Linked DNA regions of Canis lupus familiaris. The protein of the gene in region 2 interacts with the protein of the main gene of each other region in a pairwise test. Links are inferred from orthologs where the notes say so. Each region holds a gene or a part of one and is shown on either strand. Other genes may lie near its edges.

What was found.
Region 1: the proteins of EMILIN1 (region 2) and BEX3 interact in binary tests that used the Homo sapiens proteins (3 or more experiments, as listed by UniProt). The two-hybrid records come from large-scale screens. The link is inferred for Canis lupus familiaris from reciprocal best matches to the Homo sapiens genes EMILIN1 and BEX3.
Region 3: the proteins of EMILIN1 (region 2) and PLAC9 interact in binary tests that used the Homo sapiens proteins (3 or more experiments, as listed by UniProt). The two-hybrid records come from large-scale screens. The link is inferred for Canis lupus familiaris from reciprocal best matches to the Homo sapiens genes EMILIN1 and PLAC9.
Region 4: the proteins of EMILIN1 (region 2) and BEX5 interact in binary tests that used the Homo sapiens proteins (3 or more experiments, as listed by UniProt). The two-hybrid records come from large-scale screens. The link is inferred for Canis lupus familiaris from reciprocal best matches to the Homo sapiens genes EMILIN1 and BEX5.

The regions. Positions count from the first base shown.
Region 1 is NC_049260.1:77,301,232-77,306,291, reverse strand, and holds BEX3 (protein BEX3), read right to left. Parts: upstream 2,675-5,060; 5' UTR 2,322-2,674; intron 1,943-2,321; 5' UTR 1,858-1,942; intron 1,604-1,857; 5' UTR 1,498-1,603; coding exon 1,159-1,497; 3' UTR 910-1,158; downstream 1-909. UniProt on the Homo sapiens protein: May be a signaling adapter molecule involved in NGFR/p75NTR-mediated apoptosis induced by NGF. Plays a role in zinc-triggered neuronal death.
Region 2 is NC_049238.1:21,138,611-21,142,521, reverse strand, and holds part of EMILIN1 (EMILIN-1), read right to left. Parts: intron 2,964-3,911; coding exon 1,026-2,963; intron 656-1,025; coding exon 539-655; intron 125-538; coding exon 107-124; intron 1-106. UniProt on the Homo sapiens protein: Involved in elastic and collagen fibers formation. It is required for EFEMP2 deposition into the extracellular matrix, and collagen network assembly and cross-linking via protein-lysine 6-oxidase/LOX activity.
Region 3 is NC_049225.1:30,002,727-30,006,315, forward strand, and holds the end of PLAC9 (placenta-specific protein 9), read right to left. Parts: intron 2,229-3,589; coding exon 2,105-2,228; intron 1,690-2,104; coding exon 1,643-1,689; 3' UTR 917-1,642; downstream 1-916.
Region 4 is NC_049260.1:76,327,972-76,333,385, reverse strand, and holds BEX5 (protein BEX5), read left to right. Parts: upstream 1-1,939; 5' UTR 1,940-2,132; intron 2,133-2,568; exon of another isoform or gene 2,569-2,684; intron 2,685-3,200; 5' UTR 3,201-3,266; intron 3,267-3,550; 5' UTR 3,551-3,578; coding exon 3,579-3,917; 3' UTR 3,918-5,069; downstream 5,070-5,414.

The DNA.
Region 1 (5,060 bases), on a different chromosome or scaffold from region 2:
AAAGACACAGGCAAAACAAAGCTTTCAGCCTATTTGCGTTTTGGAGGTTTGAAGTAGTGCAATTCTAGACACACCAGGGTGAGACATCTAGATATGTCTCCTAAGCTAGACCCCAGTGCATTTGTGTGAGTTCTTTGGAGAAGAGGGGCACAAAAATAATACCAAAAAGGGCTATTTTGTTAGGAACCAACAAAAGACAAAGAACCATGTGAATGGTACTCACTTGGATAAATATAACTTTAAAGTGGGGAGAAAGATCTGCTCCAGACTTCTACAGGAGTCAAACCGGACAGGGTTTAGCTCACTAGGGACTCAAGAGAAATCAATGCACTTTTCTTACCTTGAGGACAGAATCAGAACCCAGAAGGGAAAGTACACCTGACACGGCAATAATCAGGGGAGAAGTACTGCAAATATCAGAGGAATGACAAGGTGGAAGCCATCTATTTTTGCCCTTTGGGCTTGTCAGCATGGTGAAAACTCCCTTTAGTCCTTCCCAAGTACCTGACAGACCTGGATAGGAGGCAGCCCAACAGTTTCACACCTCATCTATTCCACTCAGCTGCCCTGGAAGGCAAGCATTATTCCTCCTCACAGGAAAGAAGATTGACTCTTAAAAGCAATGTACCTGTAACAAACGGAGGGTTTATTCATCCAGTTAAAACTGGAAAATTCTTAAAGTTGACTCTTAAAGTTTGTTGAACCAGTATTATATACCTATACTATATTTACACTCCTTGAAAAACTGTTTTTGCTACTAAAACTTCAGATAATAAAAAGAAAAAAGTTACATAGTATTCAACTACAGAGAAACGTGACCCAATTAACACCCTGGAGCATCTGATTTCTGATTTTTTGAGGGGGGGTCATATTATACATATGCTTTTAAATGAGACAATAATAAATGTATAGATTGCTTTTTAATTGCTTTATTAACTTTACACTTTTCCATGCAATTGGGTGACTCTACTGTTGACAGAAACTTAGACTGAGTGCCAAGGCAATCCCCATTTGGAATCTGGTAATACAGAACCCACCTGACACATGGAAATTACATGCGGTTCACAGCAAATGGATCAGTAAAGGTTATCAGGAAAAGGCAAGGAAAAAAAAAAACAATGTGAGTCACAGTATTAATCTCATGGAAAATGGCAGGAGTCAAGGCATAAGGCAAAATTCATCATGATGATCATGGTGATTAGAGAGCTCCCCCATCAGGATACGCAGGCAATTCCTCAACTGCAGCTCCCTAAGTTTTCTCCTGATTTCCCTCATCTCCTCCATGAACATTTCCATATCATCCCCATCTCCACCCATCCCATCATTGACCTGCCTATTGGGGATGGCCCATCGGAAATTAGGAGCAAGTCGACGAGCCTGTCCCCGTCTATTATTTCCTGCAGGTTGGTGGCCTTCTCCCCCTCCCAAAGGGCGGTCTTCCTCTCCATTCTGCATGGGTTGCTCCATTTCTTCGTTTTCCTGGTGGATATTTGCCATGAGATTTTTTTTCCTGGTTGGTTTTCTTTGAACACAAATAAGACAAAGGCAAGGAGAGAGACTGAAAGCTTGGTGTACTGAGCAGCAGGCTCCAGAGATCTGGTACCTAACGTTTAAAAAAAAAAAAATTCCCACCTTAGGAGCTTCAGGCGTCCTCTAGGGGGCCTCCGAATCGAGCCCCTCCCTCCCGCTCTCTCCTTTACCCTCCCTCCCCCAAAGCCCACCATTTTTCCTTTCCCAGGATTCTTTCCCCAAGCTCCGCAGGCACCAAAATGGAGGTGGGGGACAGGGGATGACGTACATGGGAGGAGTCACAAACTCGGCTCTGCACCCGACCCCCACTCTGTCCCCCGCACCGACCTGGGCCTATCCTTGCTGTCTCCTCCTTCTCCCGATTCTCGCCGTGTGGGCGTCGCTGCGACAGTTGACACCTAGGCTCGCAGTCCTGCAAAGGGCCAGCGTGGAGGGAGGGGGGGTGTTGCGAAGCGTTTGGCGCCGACCTGCCACCACCTGGTTCCTTCCGGGTCCCGGGCCCCCCTGGCCGCCCCCTTAAACCCCATCTCCGGCTCTCAACCCTAGCGTCCCCCCACCCCGCCCGGAAGGTTCACTATTTTCCTGCAGGTACTCGGGGGTGATTTCCAGTTGCTCTTAGTTGCTCTGCTGCCCACCCAGCCGCCCCAGCACCCCCACCCCAGGGGGCCACTACGGATGTTCCCAAGAATGCCGGGGGTGGAGAAAGCTGCTGCGCTGATCCAATGAGCCAGCTTCGAAAGTAGGCGGACCGCTGCCGCCCTGGCCTCGCGCACCGGCCCCGGAGCCCTTACCTGCTCCGCTTTCCTCGGGCCTGACGCCAGCCCGCGGGGCGCAGGACACCGGGGAGCAGGTACCCAGACGGGAGTGACGACTGCACCGAAGGCTGCGTCGCTCTGCAGCTCCACGTCACGTGAGCGCCTCACGTCACCATGGAGCTCGCCCCCCAAATCTAGCTGCTTGTGCGGCGCGCCTACCCGCCCCCACGCCTCGCCTCACGCACAGGCGTAGGCAACCCCCTTAGCCGGTTTCTGCACTGAGCCCCAGCGCGCACCGCCGTGTCACTCAGCTTGGTCCTCTACAATTTGAGGCCCGAAAAACGCCTCACCTCCCAGCGGAGGGAGTGTAAACTTCTCAGGAAGGTAACTTCTCAGGTTACCCGGGAGGGTCTGCAATACCCTTCATCCCTCCCACTCCCGCCCCAGGCCTTGAGTTTGAGTTGTTTCGCTTTCTCTTCCTTTCTCGCTGGCCGCACCCCCTCTTTCCCTCATCCACCCTCAGGTGCGCCACCACCGTTGCCCATTGCGTCCCCTGAATTCAGATCCTTCCAGGAAATTTAGAATGAAGGCTGGGGTGGGAAGGGAGCAGGAGTCCTATTAGAGAGGCAAGGAGACAGAGTGAATTCTTCCAAAGAATTTCTCTTTCATTTCCTTTTTTAAAAAAAACCAGCATGCCTCAAAAAATTAAAAATTGCGAGATTTCACTTTTGAAAGAAATGCTTCATCTTGCGGGATGAAAAAGCCTCATTTTTAAAAATTATGCTCGTATCACACAAAATATCTTCTCTGAGTTCCACATGACATTAATATCGCTTTTGAAACACATATCTTGTTTCAAATTTCTATTTTGAAAAAAAAGAGGCATCTTTATGAACATAGTTGGTATTTTCAAAATGATCTGTAAAGTAAATCTTTAGGGAGAAGTCCAGTTGTCAGATATTGGCCTTTTAATGTAAATTTGCGATGTTTTTGATACCATAGTCTTTGAAGAAAAGGAGCCTTTTTACACCCTGCTTTCCTTTACAAACTTTCAAAAACCTCCCCTAACAAATATCTTCGTAGAATGATCACAAGTATACCATATGCAGACGTTAGTTCCAAAGCCATCTGCCTTTTGATGTAAATGTTTCAAAAAATAATAGAAATAAACAGGGTGTATATGAAGCAACTAAACTTGAGACTGAAATTCACCTGGAGTGTAAATGTTCCTGTCTCCACTTTAAAGTAACTAAACAGATTTTATCATAGTTAGAAAACAGATGTCTTTAGGAAAGCGGCATTCATAATAAAAAAAAATTTAGTAAGCGTTGGTTGTGATAAAGGAACCAGAAGAGTTATATGCACTGAAGCAAGACAGGCCAGACAAATGCTTACTGCCTCTGGTTTGGGTTCCAAACTCCTGTGTAATCTCCTACCCTGCTAAATTAGCTGGGACATTGAATAAATGAAGAATATATGCCTAGTGCATACATAGTTTGAGCTTTTTATGCTTTGAAGATATTTTGAGGTATAGCTTGTTAAAAAACAAAATTCAGCCAAGTAAATTTGAAGATTTAATTGAATTTATTAAATGATCCATGAATCAAGAAGCATCCCATCTAGCAAGTGGAGGAGAACTCCACAAAGACTACAGGAAAGGAAAGGTTTTTAAGGGCAGGACAAGGAAGTCATAAACAGAAAAAAAAGGATTATTTCACCTGTAGTTACCTTCATTTGGAGACATGAGGGTTCGTACATGGATTACCTGATTTTGCTTTGGTGGAATGCAGAGGGTTCATGTGACAGAATTACCTTACTGATGCTGACTAGTTAAAGGTTACATTCCTAGGTGGTCAAAACTGCAGTTAGGTTAGATATTAACTTGGTTTGCTACTAACTTGGGGCCTTAACCAAAGTGATGCCATTTGGGGCCTGTGGTTTTCTTTTTAACAAGTTCCAAAAGCTCAATCACACCCAAAATTGTCTTTTAAAGGAGTAGTGATTCTTGAATTCTGTTTCACAGTTTGCAACTCTTCATGCAGATAGTTCTATTAATGACACTGGCTGCAAGGATGCTTATTGAAAGCATGAGCTGTGGTATCAGGCATATCTGGGTTTAAATCATATCTGCTACATACTTGAAGTGTGGCTTTGGGTCAATTACTTTTCAAGGTCTTTGTGCTTCCTCTGTGAAACAGGGATTGTAGAAGTAAATTACATATATTAAGTACTTACCACAGAACCTAATAAATTTTCAATAAAAGCTGGCTCTTTTTTTACCATTATTAGATGGTTTCTAACAAGATTTGAAGAATAGGCAGAGCATAATTCTTTCCTTAGCTGAATCCACTTTTCTTTAAAATCCATGAGGGCCCAAAACATATCTGCTTTATTCTACTTTGCAGACCCAATGACTTATAAAGTTCCTTGTACAAAGTGGGTGATTAGTGAATATTTGTTGACTGAATGCATCCACTAGTAAGGCTAACTAGTTGCTTTTCATTCAGTAGGCTGTATTGCTCTAAGCTTTTATAGCAATACAAAAAAAGCTTTTATGAAAATTAAGAATTACATAGAAAGAATCCCTTGAAAGTAGGAAAGCACTATGATTTAACTATTGGATATAAAGTTTAGCAAGAGGATTTTTATTTTTCACAGTGGCTGAATGCTTTGCTGTTGTCTTTTTGACCCATCTTGACTAAGTCTTTTGTTTGAAACTACCAAATTTTCTTGGATAAAAACATCCATTTGTATATTTCTCCTGATCAGATATAT
Region 2 (3,911 bases):
TCCCCTCCTGGGTCTCTCCCTCCAGGGCTGCCTGAGGCCTTCTGCCCTCCATCCAACCCCTCATTCAGTTTTCCTCCCTCTGACACCCCAGATGGGAGGAACTTACCCTGCTCTCCTTGGGGACCTGTGGGAAGAGGAAAGGGAGCGGTGAGATGTGGGGCAGCTCTCACTAAGTCACTCAGCAAATATCAGCTGAGTCTTTCGCTGTCCTACAGACATACAGACTCCAAAGCAGGAATGGGGGTATCAAGAAAAGGAGGAATAAGGTCCTTTCAGTTCAACTCGTCCCCAGCCTTTCACACCCTACATATCCCTGTGAGCTCAGCCTTAGTCTTCAATACAGCAGGAAGGTTACCACATTGAACCGGCCCATATAGTGACTGTGCCGGTCCCTCATCACTGTCAGCCACGTAGGACCCCTCACTCCTTGCCCCTTTCCTCCTTTCTCTTTCAAATCCAGAATGGAACGAATGTCAAGCCTAGGGCTGCTAGAGATGTGGGGGAGCCCTGACTGCAGTATGGATCTCAGCTCACATACCTGGTGGCCCGATGGGTCCTCTTTGTCCATCCTTGCCTGGAGGTCCTGAAGGTCCAGCAGGGCCTGGGGGTCCCTGTATCCCAGGAGGCCCTGGGGGCCCGGCCTCACCCGGGGGCCCTACGGTGATAAAAATTAAGTTGAAGGGAAGCCATAAAAACAGTTTCCAAAGGACAAAGAAGGTTGTGGCTCCATGGGCAGGTGCATGGGGCCCATGGGGCTGCCCATGCTGGATACCTGGCTGGCAGGGCAGCACCCCACCCCCAACCACTGTCCTGTCTGAGCTGCCAGGGGAGAGTGGGGAGCTAGGAGCTTGGATCATCTCTTATGGACACACCAACCCCCGGGACATTGGTGGGCCTGCAATTCATGCTGGGTAGAATAAGGAGAAAGTATATAAGGTTATGGCTGGCTGTTGTGGAGGGGGAGAGGAAAAAGAAAGGACCAGAAAGGGGTCCCCCCACCTCCCACTGCACCAGTGCCCCCTCACCAGTGAGGTCCTTCAGACTGAGCTGGTGAAGCTGATCCTCCAGGAGCAGCACGGAGCTGTTAAGGGCACTGAGCCGCCTGCCCAGGCCCGCCTGCCCCCCCAGCAGCTTCTCTAGCAAGGCTGCCTGTGTCTGGCTGGTGCTGTTGGTTTCCCGTAGCCCAGCCCAGAGCCCAGCTACATGTCTGGAAAGGCCCTCTCGTAGGCCCTGCAGTCCCCCAGCCACCGTGTCCAACCGCTCACAGACTCCTTCAAGGCGGCCCAATCGCCCCTCTAGGCTGGGGCACTGGCCAGCCTGTGCCTGTCCCTCTTCCAGGCCTCGGAAGCGCTCCTCACTCTCCGTAGCATGCTCTGTGGCCTCTTGCTGCAGCCTGTTAATCTCCGAGATGATACGGTCCTTGGTGGCTCCAAGGTCAGCCAGATCAGCCCCCTGGCCCTCCACAGTGGTCTGGAGCTCATGCAGTGAGTCATTGAGAGAGCTGAAGGTGAGAATAACCTCAGAGAGCTCTCCTTGCAGGGCCTGTAGGGCTGAGCCAGAGCTCCCCCCAAACACACTGAAGCCATCCAGAGGCCCTCTGCTTGGTCCCCCAACACCTGGGCCAGCCCCGGGGCCCCGTGGGGGGAGCAGGGGGCAGGAGCAGCGCTCCACACCATCTCGAAGGCGGCCCAGCTCCTCCTGGACACCACCACAGGCCCCACAGCCCTCATCCCCACGGGCCTGCAGTAGTCCCTCCAGTTGGCCCAGCCGTGCTGCTGTGAGATTCAGCTGCAGTGCAAACTCTGCAAGTGTCTCGTCCTGCGCATCGACACGACCCTGGAGCTGGCCCACAACCCCTTGCAGTCTCTCCAGTGCAGCCTGCTGGGCTTCCCCGGCTGCTCCCACCTTGTGCAGGCCTGAGCCCACTAGACGCAGCTGCCCCTCGCTGTCTAGCACCCTGCGCTCCAAGGCACTGAGGATCTCACTGACCTGGGAGTCCTGCTCCCCGGGGGCCCCAGAGCAGAGCTGCCCACATGCCTGCACAGCCCCTGCCACCTGCTCTTCCAGCAGATCCAGCCGCCCACCCAGCTCCCTGCTCACATTGGCCAATAGTCCCTCCAGCCTTTCTAGTCGGCCCCGGGCAGCAGGCAGCCAGTGGCCCAGGCCCCCAGGACGCCCAGGCCAGCCCTCCTCCTGTTCCTCTGAGGGGCCCAGAGTGGAGTTGAATTGGTCCTCCAGGCGAGAAAGGCGGGACGCTAAGCTGGTGTAGCCTGGGGGGTGGCCCCCCTGCCCAGCCGCTCCCCCCAGCTCGGTGCCTCGCCGCCCGCTCAGCACTGTCACGGAGCCGGCCACGACATCCAGCCTCCGCTCCAGCTCGGCTAGCCGCCGGCCCAGCTCGGGAGGGCAGCACTCCTGAAGGGGCCTGCGGCCCACAGCCTGCCCGGGGAGCTGCCGCTGCCGCTCTTCCACGGAGGCCAGGAGCTTCTCCAGTGCCCGCAGCCGCTCGCGATCCTCCTGTTGCTGCCGGCGGAAGCCATCGAGCCCCGCCAGGCACACGGAGCAGGACTCCTGCAGCCGCCGCTCCAGTTCCCGCAGCAGCTCCTCACTGTGGCCCGGAGGGGCCGGGGCGGGGTCCAGGGCCCGGCTACCGCCACTGCCACTGCCACCGCCACCTCCGGTGTGATGGTTGTTGAGATGGCCCAGCTCCTGGTCATGGGTGGAGACACGGTTGTCCAGGAGCTGCAGCTGCTGCTGGATCTCACTGAGGGTTTCGTGCACGCCAGGACGGGCAGCTGCATCTGCCGGCTGCTGCCTCCCGTTGATGGCCGTCTCCACGGCCCTCTGGACGTCTTCCGCCAGGCGCCCACTCAGTCCCTGCAGGACACCTCGGAGACCCTGCAGCTCCTTTGTCAGGCTCTGCACCTGCTCCTCCAGCTGTTGTACCTTCTCTGAGTCCCCAGGACCTGGCAGAGAGGGGAAGGCATCAGACAGAGTGGCTGGACCTCAGAACTCAGTGAGCCCTCCTTGCAGGGCCTATAGGCCTCCTAGGCCCTGCTCTCCCCAGCTCCGACACGAGGTCCTAGCTGATTTGGCCACTGTTAGCTGGGTAATTTGGGCAAAGACAAGACAGGGGGAACCTCCATTTACTAAATGCCTCTAGGCCAAAATTGTACCATGGCTTTCCCTCCCTTATAAGACTCCACTGGATAGATATCACAGCGTTTCCCATTTTGTTGACTGTGAGAAAGAGAACCAGAGGAGATTAGGGAACTTGGCCATAGATTACAAGTTTCATAAGTGGCAGAGACAAGTTTCAAACCCAGCTCATCAATCTGACCAGCAAGTCTACTGTCCAGAGTAGGTCTCAGAAGTTGTTTGCTTATCTGTGAAATGGGAGTATGGGGAGGCACAGTGGACCCCACAACAGTGGCTATTCCTGAGCAACATCTCTCCATAACACCACAGGGACAGACAAGGTTCCACGGGAAGGCTGCAGGGGCTCGAGCTGGATAGTGGGAGAGTCAGCCAGAAGTTCCTGTTTCCATCATTACAGCATGACTATCTCCCTGGCAGACAAACACAGCACATCCGCAGTGCCCAGGGCGCGTGCAAGCAGGAAGGCCATGGGGACCGCTGCATTCTGGGACCTGCAGTCTCCAGAGGCCCCTGAGGGGCCTGGGACCTGTAGTTGAGTGCAGTGCATTCTAGGACTTGTAGTCTGAACTGTCTAATCCCTTGGTGACCAAACTTCTCGAAGGAATTCCCCCTTCCTCCTGCAGCCGTTCTCAAGTAGGAAGTATCTCAGCCACATGTGGGCGTGTGTGAGCACATTCTCTTGCTCTGCCTTCTTTTTCTCTTGATCTCTCGCAATCTCGGTTTCTATCTGACTCACACATTCGCGCACACACACA
Region 3 (3,589 bases), on a different chromosome or scaffold from region 2:
TGAAGACCCACCTCACACCATATACAAAAAACAATCCAAAGTAGATCAAAGAACTAAAGGTAACAGCTAATGCTATAAAAATCTTAGAAGGAAACAGGAATAAATATTCATGACCTTGGATTTGGCAATGGATTCTGATATGACACCAAAAGCATAGGAAACAACAACAACAAATAGTTAATAGGACTTCATCAAGATTAAACTTTTGTATTTCGAGAGATACTGTCAAAGTATAGAGACAGTCCACAGAATGGGACAAAATATTTGCAAGTCATAGATCTGATAAAAGCCTTTATGTATCCACAATACATAAAGATCTCTTAACCACTCAACAACAAAAAGACAACACAGTTTTAAAAATGGGCAAAGGACTTGAATAGACATTTCTCCAAAAAAGACAAATGGCCAAGAAAACACAAGCAAAGATGCTCATCATGATTAGACAAATGCAACTTAAAACCATAGTGGGAAAAAAAAAAAAACCACAGTGAGTTACCACTTCCCACCTAGTATGATGGCTATAATCAAAAGGACAGCTGGTGAAATGTGGAAAAATCAAAAACCTTAAATACATACTGTTGGTGGGAGCGTAAAGTGGTATAGAGAACAGTCTGGTGGTTCCTTAGAAACTTAAACATGGAATCCGTGTTTGACTCAGCAATTCCATCCCTAGTTATAGACCCAAGAGAAAAGAAAACATGTCCCCACAAAAACTTGTGCCTAATATTCATAGCACTATTCATAATAGCCAGAACGTGCAAACAAGCCAAATGGCCATCGACTGATGCCTGAGTAAAATGTGGCACAGCCATACGACGGACTATCACCAGCTGCGAAAGGGAATCAAGCAGTGATCGTGCTCCGACATGGAAAACACTATGCTCAGTGGAGAAAAAAGCTTGACACAAAGGCCACATACTGTATGATTCCATTTATATGAAATGTCCAGAATAGGCAAGTCCATAGAGACAAGCATATCTGAGGGATGGTGGGAGGAGGAATGGGAAGTGACTGCTTATAGGTACGGGGTTTCTTTGGGGGATGATGAAAATGTTCTGGAATCAGCGTACAACTATGTGAAGCCACTGACTTTATGTGGTTTTAAATGGTTAAACATTTTGAAATTTATGTTGTGTGAATTATACCTCAGTAGGGAACTGTAAAAAATTGCACACAAATTTGCACATCTATGCCCTGGGGAATCTCACTGGACCGTGGATCCTGATCAGGAGGTCTGGGTTGGGCCCCACAATTCTGCATTTCTGACGGGCTCCCAGGTCATGCCACTGCTGCTCATCAGTGGCCACATTTTGAGTGGGGAGGCTACTCTGAGGGCGTGTGCACCTGTCACCATACCATCCCGGGCCTCAGCTGCCTCACCTGTGAACCAACTCCACCCTGTGTGCCCCTATAAATGAGGAGGGCAGAAGCACACCCCCCCCCCCGAGGGTCTGCAGGTCTGCACCTGCAGGAGGCTGTAGCCTCAAGGGTGGGACTGGATGAAGAAGGGGCTGTGGCTATAGGGGTCACGGGCAGCGGATGCAGCGGGGACCAAGGGAGTAGCTCTAATTTTGCACAAAGTTGAGGAAGGCAGGCCAGGATGCAGGGTTCTGCTCTCAGAGGATGGCTGTTCCACAAGGTGTCACTTCCAGCTGCTGGGTGGCTCTGGCTCCAGTGCTCCAAAGTGATCTGAAAGGGAAGGGGCAGCTCAGGGGCACTGAAAGTCCCCTGCCCTCCCCCACCCCTCCCAGTGCCCCCCCAACTCCCATGCCAGGGATCACAGGGCACAGGGAGGGAGCGGAGGCAGCCCCCCTGATGCCCATTAGAGGGTTTTGTAGTGGCGCAGGAGGGGTTTCTTGCAAGGGACCTGAAAGGAGCCCAAGAGCTTTAAGGGGGGCACATGGCCCGGGGACGAGGCAGCAGCTCCGTGTCCGGAGGGTGTGAAGTGGGCCCTGGGCAACCTGCACCAGCTCTTCCAGAAGCCCGACCAGGTGCCAGGCTGCAGTGCCCAGGTGGGGCTGAGCTGGGGGTGCCGGTCCCCTCCGCCCCGGCGGGCACCCATCCCCAGCCCGAGGCTGTCCCCTCTGCCAGGCCAGCAGCTCACCGTCTCCGAGGAGGTCGGGCGTGGGGCTGAAGGGCCCCGGGGGCAGGTTCCAGGCCAGCTCCTCCAGCTGACCCAGCAAGCCTTTCACTTCGGCCTCCAGATGCTCCACCGTCTTCTCCACCGTCTGGAACCAGAGATGGGAGCCGGGCAGGGGCGCAGGGAGGCGGGAGGAGCGGGGAGGAGCGGGGAGGAGCGGGGAGGAACGGGGAGGAACGGGGAGGAACAGGGAGGAGCGGGGAGAAGCGGGGAGGAACGAGGAGGAAGGGGGAGGAGCGGGGAGAAGCGGGGAGGAGCGAGGAGGAAGGAGGAGGAAGAGGGAGGAAGGGGAGGAGCGGGGAGGAAGGGGGAGGAGCAGGGAGGAGTGGGGAGGAAGGAGGAGGAAGAGGGAGGAAGGGGAGGAGCGGGGAGGAAGGGGGAGGAGCGGGGAGGAGCAGGGAGGAAGGGGAGGAAGAGGGAGGAAGGGGGAGGAGCGGGGAGGAGCAGGAAGGGGGAGGAAGAGGGAGGAAGGGGGAGGAGCGGGGAGGAAGGGGGAGGAGCGGGGAGGAGCGGGGAGGAGCGGGGAGGAGCGGGGAGGAAGGGGGAGGAGCGGGGAGAAGCGAGGGGAGGGGGGAACAGGGAGGAGGGGGGGAGGGGGGAGCAGGGAGGAGCGGGGCGCGAGGGCGGTGCGGAGTCTTGCTTCATTGGTCACATCCCAAGGAGCCCGCAGCGACCCAGGAGGGGAGAACTGAGCGCCAGGGGGCCTGGGGCCTCCTAGTTCGCGGCCCCTCAGTTCCCCGGGGATTCCCCACCCCCACCCCCCTGCGAGCGCACATTCCTTTTGTCGCCCCGCCCCCTGGTGGCAGCTCCGCCAAATGACAGGCTTGGGATTTCGGACCGCTTGGGGCGGGAGGGTCCTCACTCCGTGGTGAACAACCCCATTAAGCAGCCTGGGGGGATCCCTGGGTGGCGCAGCGGTTTGGCGCCTGCCTTTGGCCCAGGGCGCGATCCTGGAGACCCGGGATCGAATCCCACGTCGGGCTCCCGATGCATGGAGCCTGCTTCTCCCTCTGCCTGTGTCTCTGCCTCTCTCTCTCTCTGTGACTATCATAAAAAAAAAAAAAAAAAAAAAAAAAAAAAAACCAGCCTGGGGAGACGCACAGATCCCCCCTCTCCGAAAAACACTTTAATTGGAAAAAAAAAAAAAAAAAAAGCACGTAGGATTTCCGAAGACTCCTATTGCGTTAAAATCTCATTCAAGGGCTAAAAACTAAATCTTGGGATCCCTGGGTGGCGCAGCGGTTTGGCGCCTGCCTTTGGCCCAGGGCGCGATCCTGGAGACCCGGGATCAAGTCCCACGTTGGGCTCCCGGTTCCTGGAGCCTGCTTCTCCCTCTGCCTGTGTCTCTGCCTCTCTCTCTCTCTCTCTCTGTGTGACTATCATGAATAAATAAAAATTAAAAAAATAAAAAATAAATCTTCGGTCTAAAAATATCTCTTTATTTACTCA
Region 4 (5,414 bases), on a different chromosome or scaffold from region 2:
CGTGGGATTCGATCCCGGGTCTCCAGGATCGCGCCGTGGGCCAAAGGCAGGTGCCAAACCGCTGCGCCACCCAGGGATCCCAAATAGTACATTTCTTGAGGCTGGAATAAATCTTATATTGTCCTTCTACTTTGTCTGTATTTAATTTTACTAATTTTACCGAGGACTTTTTATGGTATCTTGGGAGCTTGCTCAACCCAGGCTTAGGACAACCTTGAACTGTCAGAGATGTTAACATTCCTCAGGGTAATATCTACCAATAAATAACCCAGGCCTGTGGATAAACACTCCAGTTTCCCATCACTAAATGGGATAATTCTGAGGGGCGTTCTACATGCTTTAAACTTAGAGGGTCCCCAGCAGGATTGAGCCAGTTGCCTTTGGCCATGTCTGACTCTGGTGCTATACATTTTTTAATTAATTAAATTATTTATTTGAGTGAGACAGAAATCGTGACAGAGAGAGAGCAAAAACAGGGAGGAGAGAGAGAAGCAAGCTCCCCACTGAGCAGGGAGCTCCACACCTGGCTCAATCCCAGGACCCTGAAATCACGACCTGAGCTGAAGACAGACGCTTAATCAACTGAGCCACCCAGGCGCCCCTGGTGCTATATTTTTAATGAACGTTTTCATCCTAGGATTATATACAAAATAACATTTGTTATATACTATTTTCAATGGTTTCACGTCCTTTAATCTAGATATTTCATGTCTGTATTTAACAGGAAAAAGACACTTCAATATTTTTTCTGAATAGCTGACCAATGATCTCAGCACCATTCCTTCAGTAATCTAACCTCTCCCTGCTAATTCCAAGTATTTCAATCAGATTTCTAATATTTCTCCATATTTGGGATTGATAATGGCCTTCTCTACTATTTATTTGTTCTATATTTATTCTGCCATAATATTGTTTTTTTTTAAATTTTTATTTATTTATGATAGTCACACAGAGAGAGAGTGAGGCAGAGACACAGGCAGAGGGAGAAGCAGGCTCCATGCACCGGAAGCCCGACGTGGGATTCGATCCCGGGTCTCCAGCATCGCGCCCTGGGCCAAAGGCAGGCGCTAAACCACTGCGCCACCCAGGGATCCCTATTCTGCCATACTATTGTGTTAATATTATAGCTTCACAATACTCTGTATCTGTCAGCATAACTTTCCCAAATTATTATTCTGGATCGTTGGAAGACCTCAGTGCTGTTCTATTTTAGAGGCCATGGTAGAGTTTTGTAAAGTGAATTTGCAGTAATATAATTTAGGAGAGACCGTAAGTTTGTCACAGGCTCTCCAGATAGGAAAATCCACCAGCAAGACTCAGAGCCTCACCTCCTGGGAAGACCTCACAGAGACCCTTCACAAAGGCAACCATCAGCTTAGGTTTTTAATTTAAAGTCCTTAAAAGGGAGATGATGTCTGAAGGGTCTGTACTATTAGGGTGATTCTGCAGGAGAAGGAGGTTATCAAGACTTTACAACTCGAATCCTACTTTTCAACTGAAAATAATTGTATTGTCTAATTATAACAACCAAAAATGGAATGCATGCTAATGGGAAACAAAAAAATTAATCATCCTTTCCCTTAAAAAAATAAAATAAACGGAAATAAAGTAAAAAATAATTATGTCACTTTCTGTGTATTTTCCAGACTTCCTTCCATTGCTGTTAAGGGTAATTTTGGGTTTTATTTGCTGGGGAGTTGGACAGGAGAGAAGTGGGCAATTAAAGGTTTAAAAAAGAATTATTTCAAAGCTGCAGCAGAAATCAGGGGAAAGGCAAATATAAACTACAAAATATCATGATGCATTTGGTTTTAAAGACTTCTAAACAGGAAAAAAACATAGAGATGGGTTGTAGTGGGGAGAAGGCAGGGATGAAGAAAAAGGTGGCCCCGCCCACACTCCCGCCCCCACCCTCTTGCCGCAATGCAGGTGGGAACCATAATTGGGTATCTGAGCTCAGAGTGACGTGGCCCTTACGAGACCTGGAGCTGACGCGTGGGTTAGCGTCTCCTCCTAGTTGCAGTCTGGTTGTCCTTTGTGGCTGTGCGCCGGCACGCTATTGCCTTGAAGGCAGGCGAGCCTGTAGCACCGGGAAGGAGGAAGTCGTAGAAGCTGACCCTGATCGGTTGCAGGTTAGTGGGCGCTGACTGGGGTGGCAGAGGGCTAAGACCGGAGAGGGATTGGATTCTCTCGACCTTTTTACCCAATACCCATTTATATGGTGCAAGAAATGGACGGCTTGGTGGGAGGAGATCGAGAGGGGCCAAGAGTTGGAAATGGGTACCAGTTAGGATGTCCTAGGAGTGCAGATCTCTTGGGCGATCCGGCGTCTGGAAGGGAAGAGCCAGGGCAGGGGACAGCGAGGAAAAAGCCTGATTGTTGCAGGGCGACGGGACGGGGTTGCAACCATTGACCCTGGGGATGACGGACTCCGCCACGGGTCTAGGCCTCGGTTCCGGAATCGGTTCTCCACCTCCGTCCATTTTGGAGCGGGAAATGGTGGGCTGCGGCAAACGGGGGGGAGGGGGTGGAGATGATGGTTGCTGCAGAGGATATGGACAGGGATTAGGTCCGGGAAACACTTCCCTTCTGCGGAGGAGGTAATCGAGAGGAAGCTTTCTGACTCAGGGATCTGGTCGGGAGCAAGAAAGGTGTAAGCCTGGGCGCTGCCTGCGGACCCTGGGGTAAGCAAGACAAAGCGCTTAGACATCAGCGGGTCCAGGTTTGCAATACCCACGCTACCTCTTCGCTCTTCGTCCATTTTGATTCATAAAATGGTGGGCAGTGAAAGGAGGGTGAGTTCCAGAAAGTCTAATGGGCCCCAACTACATTGAAATTTTTTATAAATAAACCAGGTCACCATCCAGCAAGCTGTTTTGACTCCCCTGCCCAGCAAGTTGTCCATTTGCATTCAAGAAATGCTAATCAGGTGACGGGAGGGCTGAGGCGGAGGTAAAGGGGCCTAAAGAAGAGGTGAAACTGGTTGGAAATAATAATCTTTGATTACAATGCCTATTTCTGGAGGGCGGAGTAGTGCATTGCAGGACAGGAGAAGAAACCGTGATACAGGATGGAGGAAAAAGAGAAGGTGGCAACCTTTGATTAACGGATTCCTAAATCAGCAACAGAGCAGGTGCCCCCCAATACTGGTCCTTTAATCAAGTGAACAGTCCTGGCCATCGTCGCATTTTTGTCTGCAGGTCTCTGGGTCCGTTGGTGCAGCAGATTTCAAAGCAAAGAGAAAACGACTACTTCTGAGCCTGCAGGTAAGTGGCTGCTTGGGGTCCTCTGGTTTAGGGTTTATCGGGGATCATGACAGAATCTGGGAAACTCACTGCCCTTCCAGCCGGAGTTAAAGTGCAAGAGGTGCAAGGAGTGGCCTAAGGAAAAATTGATGGGGAAAATGGTGAGCTTTGGAGCTGGGCTGGGTCTGGGGCGTCCCCTAGAGGGTGCACGAAGTTTCTCAGATGAGAGAAAACCTTTTCTGACAGAGCTCTGACTCCTGTTGTTACAAAGTATTACATCCTTTTTCTTGCTTTTTATCTCCTAGGAAGAGTAAGCAGGAAAAAAATCTCAACATGGAAAATGTCCCCCAGGAAAGCAAAGGAGAGGAGCAGGCTCCAATGCAGAATGAAGAAGCCCACCCTTTGGAAGGTGGTGAAGGCCAGGAGCCTGGAGAAAATATTAGAGCCGATTGGGCCCCGCCTGCCCATGATGTGAGAGAGGATATGCCCAATAGGCTTGTCAATAACCTTGACATGATAGATGGAGATGCAGATGATATGGAACGGTTCATGGAGGAGATGAGAGAGCTAAGGAGGAAAATTAGGGAGCTTCAGTTGAGGTACAGTTTGCGCATTCTTATAGGGGATCCCCCTCACCATGACCATCATGATGAGTTTTGCCTTATGCCTTGAATGCTGAGGTTAGTAATAATAAACTCCCTGCCTCCCAAAGTTGCATTTTCTTTATGTACCCTTTACTGTGAATCTGTGATGTTCTGTAATTTTTCTGATTGGAGAATTCATTTGACTTAGTCTGAAAGTTTTTCTGTCAGCGGGGGAGTTTCACCAACTTGCATGGAAAGATGTTTAGTACATAGTGTGAAGGTAATAAAGCAGTTTAAAAACCAGTCTATAAATACACTATCTCATTTAAAAGCATGCATAATATATGTGTGTGTATCAGAATGTTTCTTCTTTAACTTTTCTTGATTACTTATTTTTTCTCATTTTTCCAAAATGAATACATATGTATTATACATGTCAGGCAAAAAGTAAGAGGCAAAGAACTTGCCAATTGACTTATAAAGGGAATGGAGACAATCATTAAATGCTTCAGACACAATTTAAAGACACATGAATCTTCTATTACCTCTTATAATATAATCTCTTACTTGGAAGCACGAACCTGGTCATTATTACAGATATGTTTCTTTATAGTCAGCCTATTAATCTATGAATGAAGATAACATGCACACTCTCTAGGTGCTCTTCATATTTAGAGAAGGGCCCAAAAAGTATGTCTATCATCAAGTCTAAATGCCAAGTGGGTGACACCTTTTTTTTTAAGATTGTATTTGTTTGAGAGAGAGTACAAACGGGGAGGGGCAGAGGGACAAGTAAGTAGACTCCCTGCTGAACAGGGAGCCCAGCATGGGGCTCCACCCCTGGAGCCTTAGCTGGTCAGACACCTGACTGAGCCACCTAGGCACCCCTGGGTGACACCTTTCTATACTTAGGCTTCTGTGTCTCCCTTCTCTAGATAATGCCTTGACTGCTAAGCACTCTTTCCCCTTCTCCCTTCCTTTTGGCTCCCTGTGCTGGTCCCCACCACTACTGATGTGCTAGAGTACTAAAGGTGACAAAGACCTACTGATTTCTCTTGAACCATCAATGATCTGAATTCCCATTTTGCCCTTTCAGAAATGTGGAGAATGCCCTTCCTGCTTTGTAGTTATTCTTAATCCAAGCGAGTACTCCCCCAGTGCTGCTTAGGGATCCAAATAGCCCTTTTGTTTTTTCTCAGACTTTCTTCTTTATCCCCTAATAAAATCTGAGTGACATTCATTATAGTGTATTCAAAATTAAACTCTCTTTTCCATCCTCTGATGAATATGGCCTGTTTCCTTGGCTTTCCATTTTCTGTGGAGACCCTGCTACAGGTTTCACTCTGCACATACACAGGTGTGGGGGTGGCTTTATGTTTATACCATTCTAACCCCAGAATCCCCAGTAGTCTACTCACACTAACCTACATGAATCCAAAGGAGTTTCCCTCTGCCTTTGCTTTGATTTTTGCTGTACCCAATAAACCTATAATTACAGAACAATGGGAAACTGGCTGAGACTAGAGACCTAGTAAGTGGACCCTTGTCTTAGAGTATTTTCAATCACCCAGTCATCACTGGTCCC